Linked DNA regions of Neurospora crassa OR74A. The protein of the gene in region 2 interacts with the protein of the main gene of each other region in a biochemical or structural test. Links are inferred from orthologs where the notes say so. Each region holds a gene or a part of one and is shown on either strand. Other genes may lie near its edges.

What was found. The genes of interacting proteins can lie anywhere in the genome.
Region 1: the proteins of bni1 (region 2) and bud6 form a complex in vitro, tested with the Saccharomyces cerevisiae proteins (5 studies listed by BioGRID). The link is inferred for Neurospora crassa OR74A from reciprocal best matches to the Saccharomyces cerevisiae genes BNI1 and BUD6.

What each region holds. Positions count from the first base shown.
Region 1 is NC_026502.1:3,556,983-3,562,010, reverse strand, and holds the start of bud6 (actin-interacting protein), read left to right. Parts: upstream 1-1,560; 5' UTR 1,561-2,027; coding exon 2,028-2,282; intron 2,283-2,464; coding exon 2,465-5,028.
Region 2 is NC_026505.1:4,767,124-4,772,181, forward strand, and holds the start of bni1 (cytokinesis protein sepA), read left to right. Parts: upstream 1-1,828; 5' UTR 1,829-2,375; intron 2,376-2,793; 5' UTR 2,794-3,171; coding exon 3,172-5,058. Other genes in the region: NCU01432 (hypothetical protein), read right to left, coding at 1-328, 423-449. UniProt on the Saccharomyces cerevisiae protein: Required for the assembly of F-actin structures, such as actin cables and stress fibers. Nucleates actin filaments. Binds to the barbed end of the actin filament and acts as a leaky capper, slowing both polymerization and depolymerization.

The sequences.
Region 1 (5,028 bases), on a different chromosome or scaffold from region 2:
AGAGAGACAGGAGGGCAATATTCTTGTGCGGGTGCCACACAGACCTCGGAAACCGCGGGAGACTCGGCGGACTATGGCGAGGGAGATTCGACGCATCATGGAGCCCTTTGATGTGCCCAGGTAGTAAGGGATGATGGTTCCTTTTCGAATGGCTGAGGTTTGAATAACATGGGTGTCAAAGCTTGCAAATTTGCCTGGTATAATCTGCGTTTGCTCATGGTGGAAGGATGGGAGGCAACCTGGCCGATAGACGACGGTATGTCCAGCAGACCGTGTTGTTCAATACAGGGTTGTACACAACGTTCGAGATGCGACACTCCAGTTGAAATCCTTCAGCAATTGATGTCGGCGATCCTCTTGTGCCTTGTTTTGTTGTTGCCGACTGGAAGCTTGACATGGACTGCGCTGACGAGTTCACCTCCAGCTCCGCGCCCGTGTAGGGTTCATGAATATCGGTAGTCGAAGGCCGCGTGAAGTCGGATGGCATTGAACCTCCAAGATACGAGTTGGAGACGGAACTGAGTTCATCTGTGTTGTTGTTACGGACACTGCAGGGAAGAAAACGTAAGCCCAAACTCAAGCTGAAGGACACTTGGACACTTTCAATTTCGAGGCTGTCTGGATTTGGACCAATTTCTCTGCCCGGTCGGTGCCTTGCGCCTTCCCTTCCCCCCAGGACCACCAACTTCAAGAGGATTCGGTGAGATCTTGGTAATGAGGACATCCGGGGAAGGAACAGAGGACCGGACTCAATACTGAGGTGGTGGACAGTAGGTAGGTTGCCGCCTTCTATATGTTCATGGTGTGTTTGTCGGTGTGGCCTCTCAACGTTCCCTGACTTTGCTGCTTGTACTGTGTTTTACATGGATGGCAATGGATGAGGTGCGACGTCAATGATGTGCCACAAATAAAAGGCATTTGACGAGATGGTGGTGTAGCAGAATGACGGCTATTGTCAACATCCTTGGTCCAAGATGCGGAGATCTGGCGGTGATGGTGATGATCCTTGTCTTTGGCGGTTTGGATGAAACATTGAAACACGGGGAGTTGTTTGTTCAGCAGGGCTGTGGGGGACAAGAGCCCCAGGGTCGTGTTGAGTCGCGTGAGACGGCCCGATCACATGGGCTACAGGTTAATCACAGCCATGGCTGGCTTGGACAGTGTTTACCAACAATGAGAATGGATATTTTGTAGCGCACCCCCTGTTATCGGCCGCTCTTACCCCTGTCCAGGGAAGGGCACGGCTACCCCTCAGGATCCCCTGCCCTCTTCTTGCCATGTGCTCACCTTCAGGCGCTCCTCTGAGCTAAGCGGGTATCATGTGCTGTTACCGCGCCCAGCCATCACTAACAGTAACAGCCTGGAAATTACAAGCTAACGTATTAGTACAATCTGCTTGAACCAACAGTGATGGCGAAATGCAAAACAACTGAAGGGAAGCGAGGTCAGGAGCCCACCACAGCGGCTGGCAGCCCAACTGGAGCCGTTGCCATGGCCTGCGCCTCCACTTTGGCTTCCATTTGGCGATACAAGTTCCAATCCACTGCAATTATACCTAGTCCCCGACTTGTCAGCAACGACGGGACATCCGTCCTCAACGCAGTTCCATAGTATTTGTCCATCATCAACAAACACAACCTCGCGCATTTCTCAAAAGCTTGTTTCTAGACAAGACACCTACTACTGTCCGCCACCATATCCTGATGCGCCGCCCTGATTGAGACGGCCAGCAACATCAGTCGTCGCCAGCATCTTGAAGGGCTCTTGTCATCCCGTCAAACCGATTCACTATCTCTTTATTTGAAGCGACCAAGACCCTGTCGCCAAACGCCCCCGGCCCGGTCTAGACGTAGCTCCCGCCATCTACGCGCCGTCGAATCTCCCATCTCTGCCCAACATCTGCTAGAGGTGCCGACCCGACAACACAAGCCATCCCGCCTGACGTGATCTCCTTTTTGCGACACGACCATTTGCCCTGAACATCACAAGCTCTATCACATCCATCAGACAGCAAGGCAGCGCAGCACATGATGAATGTCCCGGGTCCCGGCCGCCCCATGCAGCGACGCCCCCCCGCCCCGGGCACCGAACCCGGTGGTGGTGGTGGTGGTGGTGGTGGCCCGCCCTCCAACATGCCGGCCCGCTCAATATCGCCCGCCGTTGGGATGGGAGGACAGATGGGTCCCCAAGCTGGCATGTCGAGGTCTTCAGCTGGCTCAAGTCGCTCAGTTCAAGGTCCCGGCGGCGGCCCCGCCGGCGGTGGGAGCACAAGGCGAAACAATGTGAGTAATCATCTTCCCGCCTTGGCTTCCTTTACTGTTGTTACCATCGGCCTGTTTTGCAGTCCCCCTTTCTCTCGAGTCTTTCCATCTACATGCGCGCGTCATGATGCCTCTCCTCTCCTCTGTTCCAATCCTCCTCTGCCGTTTGCCAGTTCGCTGCTAACCAGGGCATCTGACAACAGTCATCTGGCGGCTCGTCGTCCGTCCCACTATCGCAAATCGAAAGGAGCGTCACACATCTACTTGTGGCCACCAAGCAACTGCTCGAAACCCTGACACAATGGTCCCGTGGAAACGCAACCGATACCCAGGTCTCCGACGTCTACGTACGGCTGGGCTACGAGTTTAATATGGCCTGCCGAGCCTTTACTGCCATCAATGTCGATATTGACGACTTGGGCAACGTACCCGAGATGCTGCGCACCATCCTGGAGGCCACTCTAAGTCAAGAAGCCAGCGCTGAAAGTCTCGAGAAATACCTGCCAAAGATACGTGATATTATCATAAATCTGCTGCATGGTTTAAAAAGAAAACAGCAAAAGCTAAGGCATCGCCAGCAGCGGGATAGAGAGCCGAGTATCGCGGGAGACGATGGAGGCTATGGTCCAAGTCGCGGACCTGGGCCCAGTAGCAGTGGCGTGCCCACCAGAACTACGAGCACTAGTACCATGGCTAGTGTTAATTCTGGGCTCACCAACATGCTGAACGAAGGGCTGGAGAGCAATGGCTACCGACCGGACTCTTTCAGGGATGATTCTCGGAACTCTGGTCCTACAACGGCATCACCCACCAGACGTCTTCCCTCGCAACGGGACCAATCTCGCGGCTCTGTCACCTCTGACCAGTCCAGCCTGTCGAGCAACACGATGCAAAACATACCCGTTATGGCGCCTTACCCAGGTGAAGAGACAATTCCAACCGGCCCACCGGCACCACCCGAAATCAACGTGGACAACTTCCCTCCGCCGCCGCCGCCGCCCAAGGGATCGGGACAGAGCGCCTTGGCGGCTCTCCAAAGAGGAGGTAATCTGGAAAGACGAGCTTCCCGCAGATATGAGGCATACCAGATTTCCAAGTATCTCGGCGCTATGGTCCCACCCCAGACAACGCCGATACCCGATAGGGGCAACCGCGAGGCTAGAAGAGAGTCGCTGCGGGCGATGCACGTAAGGGAAACCCCCCGCCACAGCCGCAATGTTTCGAACCAGTCCCAACGTACCATTGGCCTCGATTCCTCTCCCGTTCGAGTTCCCAGCCGGGTTCCTGAAGAGCCTGAAACGGCCGATTCTTATACATTTAGCAAGGCCGACAACTTGAATGTCCAGGCGCCAGATGACAAGTATCCTACTCCAAGCGCTACCCTTAATGGCCCGCTCGCAGATCCTATCCCGATGGTGGATGAGGTAGACTCGTCTAAGCCCGCTGCTACGAGGCCTGCTCCTGCGCCTGCCGCTCCTCAGCATCAACACAAGCCGTCCATTCGCGCCTCGACTCCCGATAAACAACCGCCCAGCTCGTTTATGCTCGAGAATTCACCCCCCGCAACCAAGGAACTGACCCTCTTCCTGCAGTACAAGTCCAAGGTCAAGAAGTTCGTGCTCCCTGAGGGCTACGAGCATCTGTCTATGGCTCGTCTTCAGCTGGCCTTTATTGAGAAGTTCTCGTGGAACACGCAGCAGAATGGAGCTGATCTACCGGAAATTTACATTCAAGATCCCGTCTCCGGTGTCCGCCATGAGCTTGAGGATCTGTCCGATATTAAGGACCGTACAGTGCTTGTGTTGAATGTCGAGGTTTTGGATGAAGTCAAGAAGCATATTGACAAGAGTATCGGGTCCATCAAGACCATCATCCAGCAGGTTAAACAAAATGTCGACGATCAAAACGCCGCCATTCAACGTGTGTCGGAGCGCCAACAGGAGACCGCCAAGGATCTCGCTCGCATTGCCGCCACGCCGCCTCCCACTATCATCGCACCAAGTGGTATGGACTCGACGGCTTCGCCACGCTCTTCGTCTTCCTCTGTCGCTGGTGCTGCTGCCCTTGCCGGTTCCTCATCCAAGAAGCTCAGCCCAAGCCAGCTCACCGAGATCCAATCCCTTCGTCGCGACCTCGCCGTTCTTCGCCAGACCTACTCCAACTTCCAGTCCGAAGTCCAAGGGTCCATGACTACTCTTCGCAACAAGGCCAACAATGTCAAGACCGCCGCCGCCAAGTTGTCCGTTCCCGATGGGGAAGGCGACTCTGGTCGCGCTTACGTCACCAAGGGTCGGAAACTGCTTAACGCCGATAGTGACCGGCTTGTCAACCAGGTAGACGACCTGCAAGATCTCATTGAGGACCTTCGCAAGGACGTTGTCCACCGCGGCGTCCGCCCACGCCCTAACCAGCTCGAGTCCGTCACCAAGGACATCACCACGCTCTCCAAAGAGCTCAAGAAGATGGAGGAGTTCATGAAGAAGGAGAAACCCATCTGGACCAAGATCTGGGAAAAGGAGCTCGAGGAGGTCTGCCAAGGTCGCGACGAGTTGCGCCTCATGGAAGATCTGATGATCGACTTGCGCGACGACTTGGAGAAGGCCAGCGAAACCTTTGCGCTTGTCGAGCAGGCAACCAAGGAGCAGATGAAAGAGGGCGGACAGGGTAATACGGTTAACGGCTCGGTGTCCAACGGCCCCACGCCCTTTGGCGCCTTTAGTCGCGGGCTGAAGAGCATCTCGGAGAAGGTGACGCATGCGGATCCTAG
Region 2 (5,058 bases):
TTGTAGGCTGTTCACGGCGCTCCAGAGCCCTCCTGAGAGCTTCATCCACTTCGTTCAGCTCCTCCCCGTCATCCGAATCAAAGTCAGTACTTGGGCGGTTATCAGCCACATCGATGCGATCTTGCAGTCTGGCCCTCCACGCCGAAGTTATAAACCATGTAGTAATGCGATCGGTGAGGCGTGCACGCAGGGATGATGCTCCATCGGTTATCGTCTCGAGCGGAAGATATTGGCTGTAGCGGTTTCGGTATCGTTGCCAGATGGGAATGACGGCGAAGGTTAATACGAGGTAGAGAATCAGGGCTATGATCGCAGGGACAATTAATGTCTATAGGTGTTCGAAGAGGTTAGTGACTGGGAAACGAACAGCATAGAATCGTGACTGATCTCCTCTTGAATGTCTGTGTCTTTGTCTTGCTCACCTTGATCGCGGAAAAGTCGGCGCCCATGATGACGACAACCTGGCCCGCTGCCGTGCAAGGACTTCAACGAGTCCAGTTACAGAATGTGATAGTCTCGGCTGAAGAGGCCTTGAGGTTGTGATAAAAGGCTATGAGGCTGAACAAGCCAAAAGTGGTGGCCGCGGCGTAAAGTGCCCCTGTTGCCTACGGAGGTTCCGCTTGCGACAAACCTATGTAACATATACAAATGCGGCACGTAATCGCGTGCGGAAAGGTGTACCTGCGCTAACTGCGCGCGCAGTACATACTGTAGCCACCTGGGCTTGACAGCCCAGACGTTGTGGAACAGTGCACTGTAGAGTTCCTGGACTGGGCTCACCCGGCCCTTCCATGTATCGGGTCTCTGTGGCATGGCCCGACTGAGCGAGGCCCGGGCCCAAAATAGCAACGGAACGACACCCTCAAGGTTGATGAGATGCAGAAACCTAACAAACTGCCCTGATGATCCAGGGGTATCGACGGCCTCATGTAGGGATCTCAGAGGATGTCTTTCCAACCAACAACATCTGTTCCTATACAGTTTTGGACCTCCACAAGTGTGTTTCTCGCTCATACCTCTAGCTTGAGGACTTTTATTCTTTTGTCTTCAGATCATCTTGACCTCTTTTGGTTGGGATAGTGAGACGCAGGGATGATGATACTCGGATAGAACGGTGATGATTGGGCAAGGGATCATGAGCCAATCTTAATACCAGTTCGATGTGATTCCATCATATCAATCTGCCCCCACCAGGGGCAGTTTGGGAAGGTGGAGGATTAAGCCAAGTCATAGTTCCAGCCGCTATGCCTACTTATGCTATTGTATGGATGTACGCAGTACATAGTAATGTGGACATATATGGCGCCGCTGAATGTGCCACCAATGCATACGAAGATGACCTTTATCACCATTATGCGTATTGTTTCAGGTTGACCAGCGGCCTTTTCAGTGCTCAGTTGACAAGTTTCTATCATTGAGTTTCTTTCATCCTATTCTGTGCCGATTTGTGGTTCCATCACTTATATGAACCATCGGTTAGGTTCAGATGATGGATGTTTCGGATGGTGGATGGGAAAAAGAAAGAACGGAAGAAACCCGGACAGTCCCTGCGTCTTGACCACTAACAAATTCCCCGCCTGTGATTCAAGACATCAGGGGTGATGATGTGCCCAGCTAAGCCGCTTTCAGCGCATCGAGACCCCCTTTGCCGTGATGTTGAGGTCTCCCACCAGAAGGTGCAGCTGTTAAGAGAGTGCACGGTGCACCCTCCCGCGCCATGCTGGAGTTGCCCCTGCGATTGCCGAGCGTTGTTAGGTTCGCGTTCACACGGCAAGGAACCCCAACCTCACTCTCTCTCAAGTGATCTCTCATTCGGCTCATTCAACCACTTCACCTCAGTCCAGTCTCGCTGCAACTTCTGAATGGTCATCTGCCTCTGCCTCTCCTTTTCCCGAGCTTGTCTCTATAGCTGATAATTCGCGGGTGAGCCAGCCACCACCGGACAACGCTCCACCCGTCGTCGTTGCCATTGCTCCTTTTCTTTCCCAATCATCGCTCATAGAAGACCACCATTCATTTGCCGCCCGATCTCAAATCAACCTTCAATTTCGTCCGAGTGGGTAACTAAGCCCGTCCAAGACAGGCCCTCCAGTGCCCCACGCGCGCGCGCGCTTCCACCCCAAAGTTAGGTACCGCCAACGACCTGGGCCAAATCCACCAGACCCCTCGAACGGGAGAGTCCGTCCCTGACGAGCCCTGACGGTTTGACCAACGAACGGCATTTTGTTCTTCTCCTAGTTCAGCCTCGGCGTAGCTGTCTAAGTACTCTGGCACTTTTGGTAGTGAGCGAGCTGAGCGTCGCATACCTACCTACTCATCACCCCTCCTTGCCGTCAGCCAGGTCGCCAGTATACTGCCTCTACACTACACACTAGGTAGGTAACTACAGTACTCTATCTATACTTCCAACACGAGATCCAGAAGTCGAAGTCGACGACATCCTACACTACTACCTAGGTATTTCCAGGTTTCGCCGGCTACGCTACACGGACAGACGCGGGTACGGATATTTGCGCCCGCTCGTACATTTGCGACTTGACCCCTTTGACTTTCACTTGAGTTCCATTCCCTTCGAAGATCTGGATTGTATTGCCAACACGGTCTCGATGCAGTCTAGTTTGGGTCAGCACACATCCATACACATCTCGCCCGAGTGCGCTCATCCCACCAGCTAGCAGTGCTAGCAGCTAGCCTATCTCGAGGCCCGCCTCTGCGCAAAAGCTTGCCCGGGCACGGCTACCCTCCGAACTCCTCAACTTGACCTCATGCTAAAAACACCAATGGTTCATGCAGCAGGAAGGCCATGCTCACCAACCGTTATTGCCCGCAAAGAACATGATGCGATCCACCCAGGGCCTCAGACACCGAGTCCATTGACGGCATTTGCTCCGTATCCATTTCAACGCACTCATTTACCAATTGACCCACCCGCGCATTGATTGCCTATACAACTACCCACTCCGCGCCTCGAGACGAGACCCGACCCGGCCCGGCCCCTCGACACCCCTCGACGCCCCTCTACAGCGATCCAGATACCCACGATACCCGCTCGCCTATTGCTGAGGAACCACCCCCGAACAACACGTAGGCAGCTTGCGCTGCTGGGACTGTACTCTGGTGTACTGCCCTGCCGGTAGCGAAGCGGCCGCTTCACACATCCCGTCCCGCGCCATGTCCTCCCACGACAAGAATGGGAGGGCTACCTCCTCGAGCGGCAAGGCCTCCTCCTTCTTCTCGAGAGCCACTGGCAAGAACAAGGCCGACAAACGGAACGCAAGCGATGAGGGTGGCCGATACCTTGCCGCCGACAACGACGCCGCCAGCACCCATACCGCACGCAGTTCGCGCCATTACCGGGACTCGTCTGTAATATCGCTGGACCGTCCCGACACGCCCGAATCTGGCCTCAACATGACGGCAGGGGTCGTCACGACGATCCCCTATGACCCTGTTTCCCCCGACAATCGCTCCCCCGTCGCCCTCGACCACCTTCCCAGGCCCGACCAAATGCCCCTAAGGCGAGAGCTAGTACCGCACCACCTCAACAAAGGCACTGGTGACTTCCACCAGTATCCCACCATCGACCAAAGCCCAAGCTCCCCCTATAATGGGCAGTCACCCAGCGCATCAAGTTCGCGCTCAACTCTCGCTACTGCTAACATCACCATGGCCTCCACGGGCCGCCAGGCCCAGTTTCAGCAATGGGGACCACCGAGAGAGAGCAGTTTGCCCGGGTACAATTCCAGAGGCCACTCGTACATGACAACCCGCAGTTCGGGCGACAATGCCAGCATCTACTCAGGTAGGGACGGACACTACCAAGAAGCCCCAGGAACCAGCCATCGCTCATCCAGGATAGGACTCCCTAGTACTTCGTCTCAGTCATCCTACCTTTCTCCCCATGCCCATAAGGACAGAGATACCCAGCGGTTAACCAAGGTCGCTGCCGGCCACCAGGGCTCCGAAGGATTCAACTTTCCCAAGCCAGACGATGACAATGTGATTGAACAGATGTTCATAAACCTGATGCAAAAGCGAGGATGGCACAACCTCCCGGACCAGGCCAAGCGCCAGATGATCGCATACCCCGCCGCGAAGAAATGGACCTTGATTTACCAGGATCGACTCACCGAGTGGCAGGGCGAACAGAAGCGCAGACAGACGGCCAAGATTGGCCAATACAGCAATGTCGATATTACCCAATCCTCCGATGACGAAGGCAGCCCCGAGTGGTATGTGCGCAAGGTCATGGAAAACGCTCTGGACAGCAAAGGGCTCGGAGGACTCGAAGTCAACCTTCGGACACAGCAGATCGGCTGGGTCAAGCGCTTCATCGACTGTCAGGGACAGATCGCCTTGACCAATGTCCTGCTAAAGATGAACCGAAAGACTGCCTATGGACCTGCTCAGCCGGATAATGGAAGATTGGATAAGAATTTGGACCGAGAATATGACATTGTCAAATGTTTGAAGGCTCTTATGAACAACAAGTTTGGCGCAGACGATGCGCTAGCTCACCAACAGGTTATTGTGGCTCTGGCCACCTCCCTTATATCACCTCGGCTCACCACCCGGAAGCTTGTCAGCGAAGTCCTGACATTCCTCTGCCATTGGGGCGAAGGCAAGGGCCATGTCAAGGTCATCGAGGCCATGGACGTCGTTAAGGCCCAGCAAGGCGAAAACGGGCGCTTCGATGCTTGGATGCGTCTTGTTGAGGTCACCGTCGACGGCCGCGGGAAGATGGGCAGTTTGGTCGGTGCTAGTGAGGAGGTACGAAGTGGTGGCATTGGCATGGAGAATCTGCTCATGGAATACGCCGTTGCTACCCTCATCTTGGTCAACATGTTGGTCGATGCCCCTGAGAAGGACCTGCAGCTGCGCATACACATTCGGGCTCAGTTTACGGCCTGTGGCATCAGGCGTATCCTGAACAAGATGGAGGCCTTTCAGTATGAGCTGATTGACAAGCAAATCGAGCGGTTCCGCTCCAACGAAGCTATCGACTATGAGGATATGCTCGAGCGTGAGAACAGCAGCATCAAAGATAGTATCGAGGGT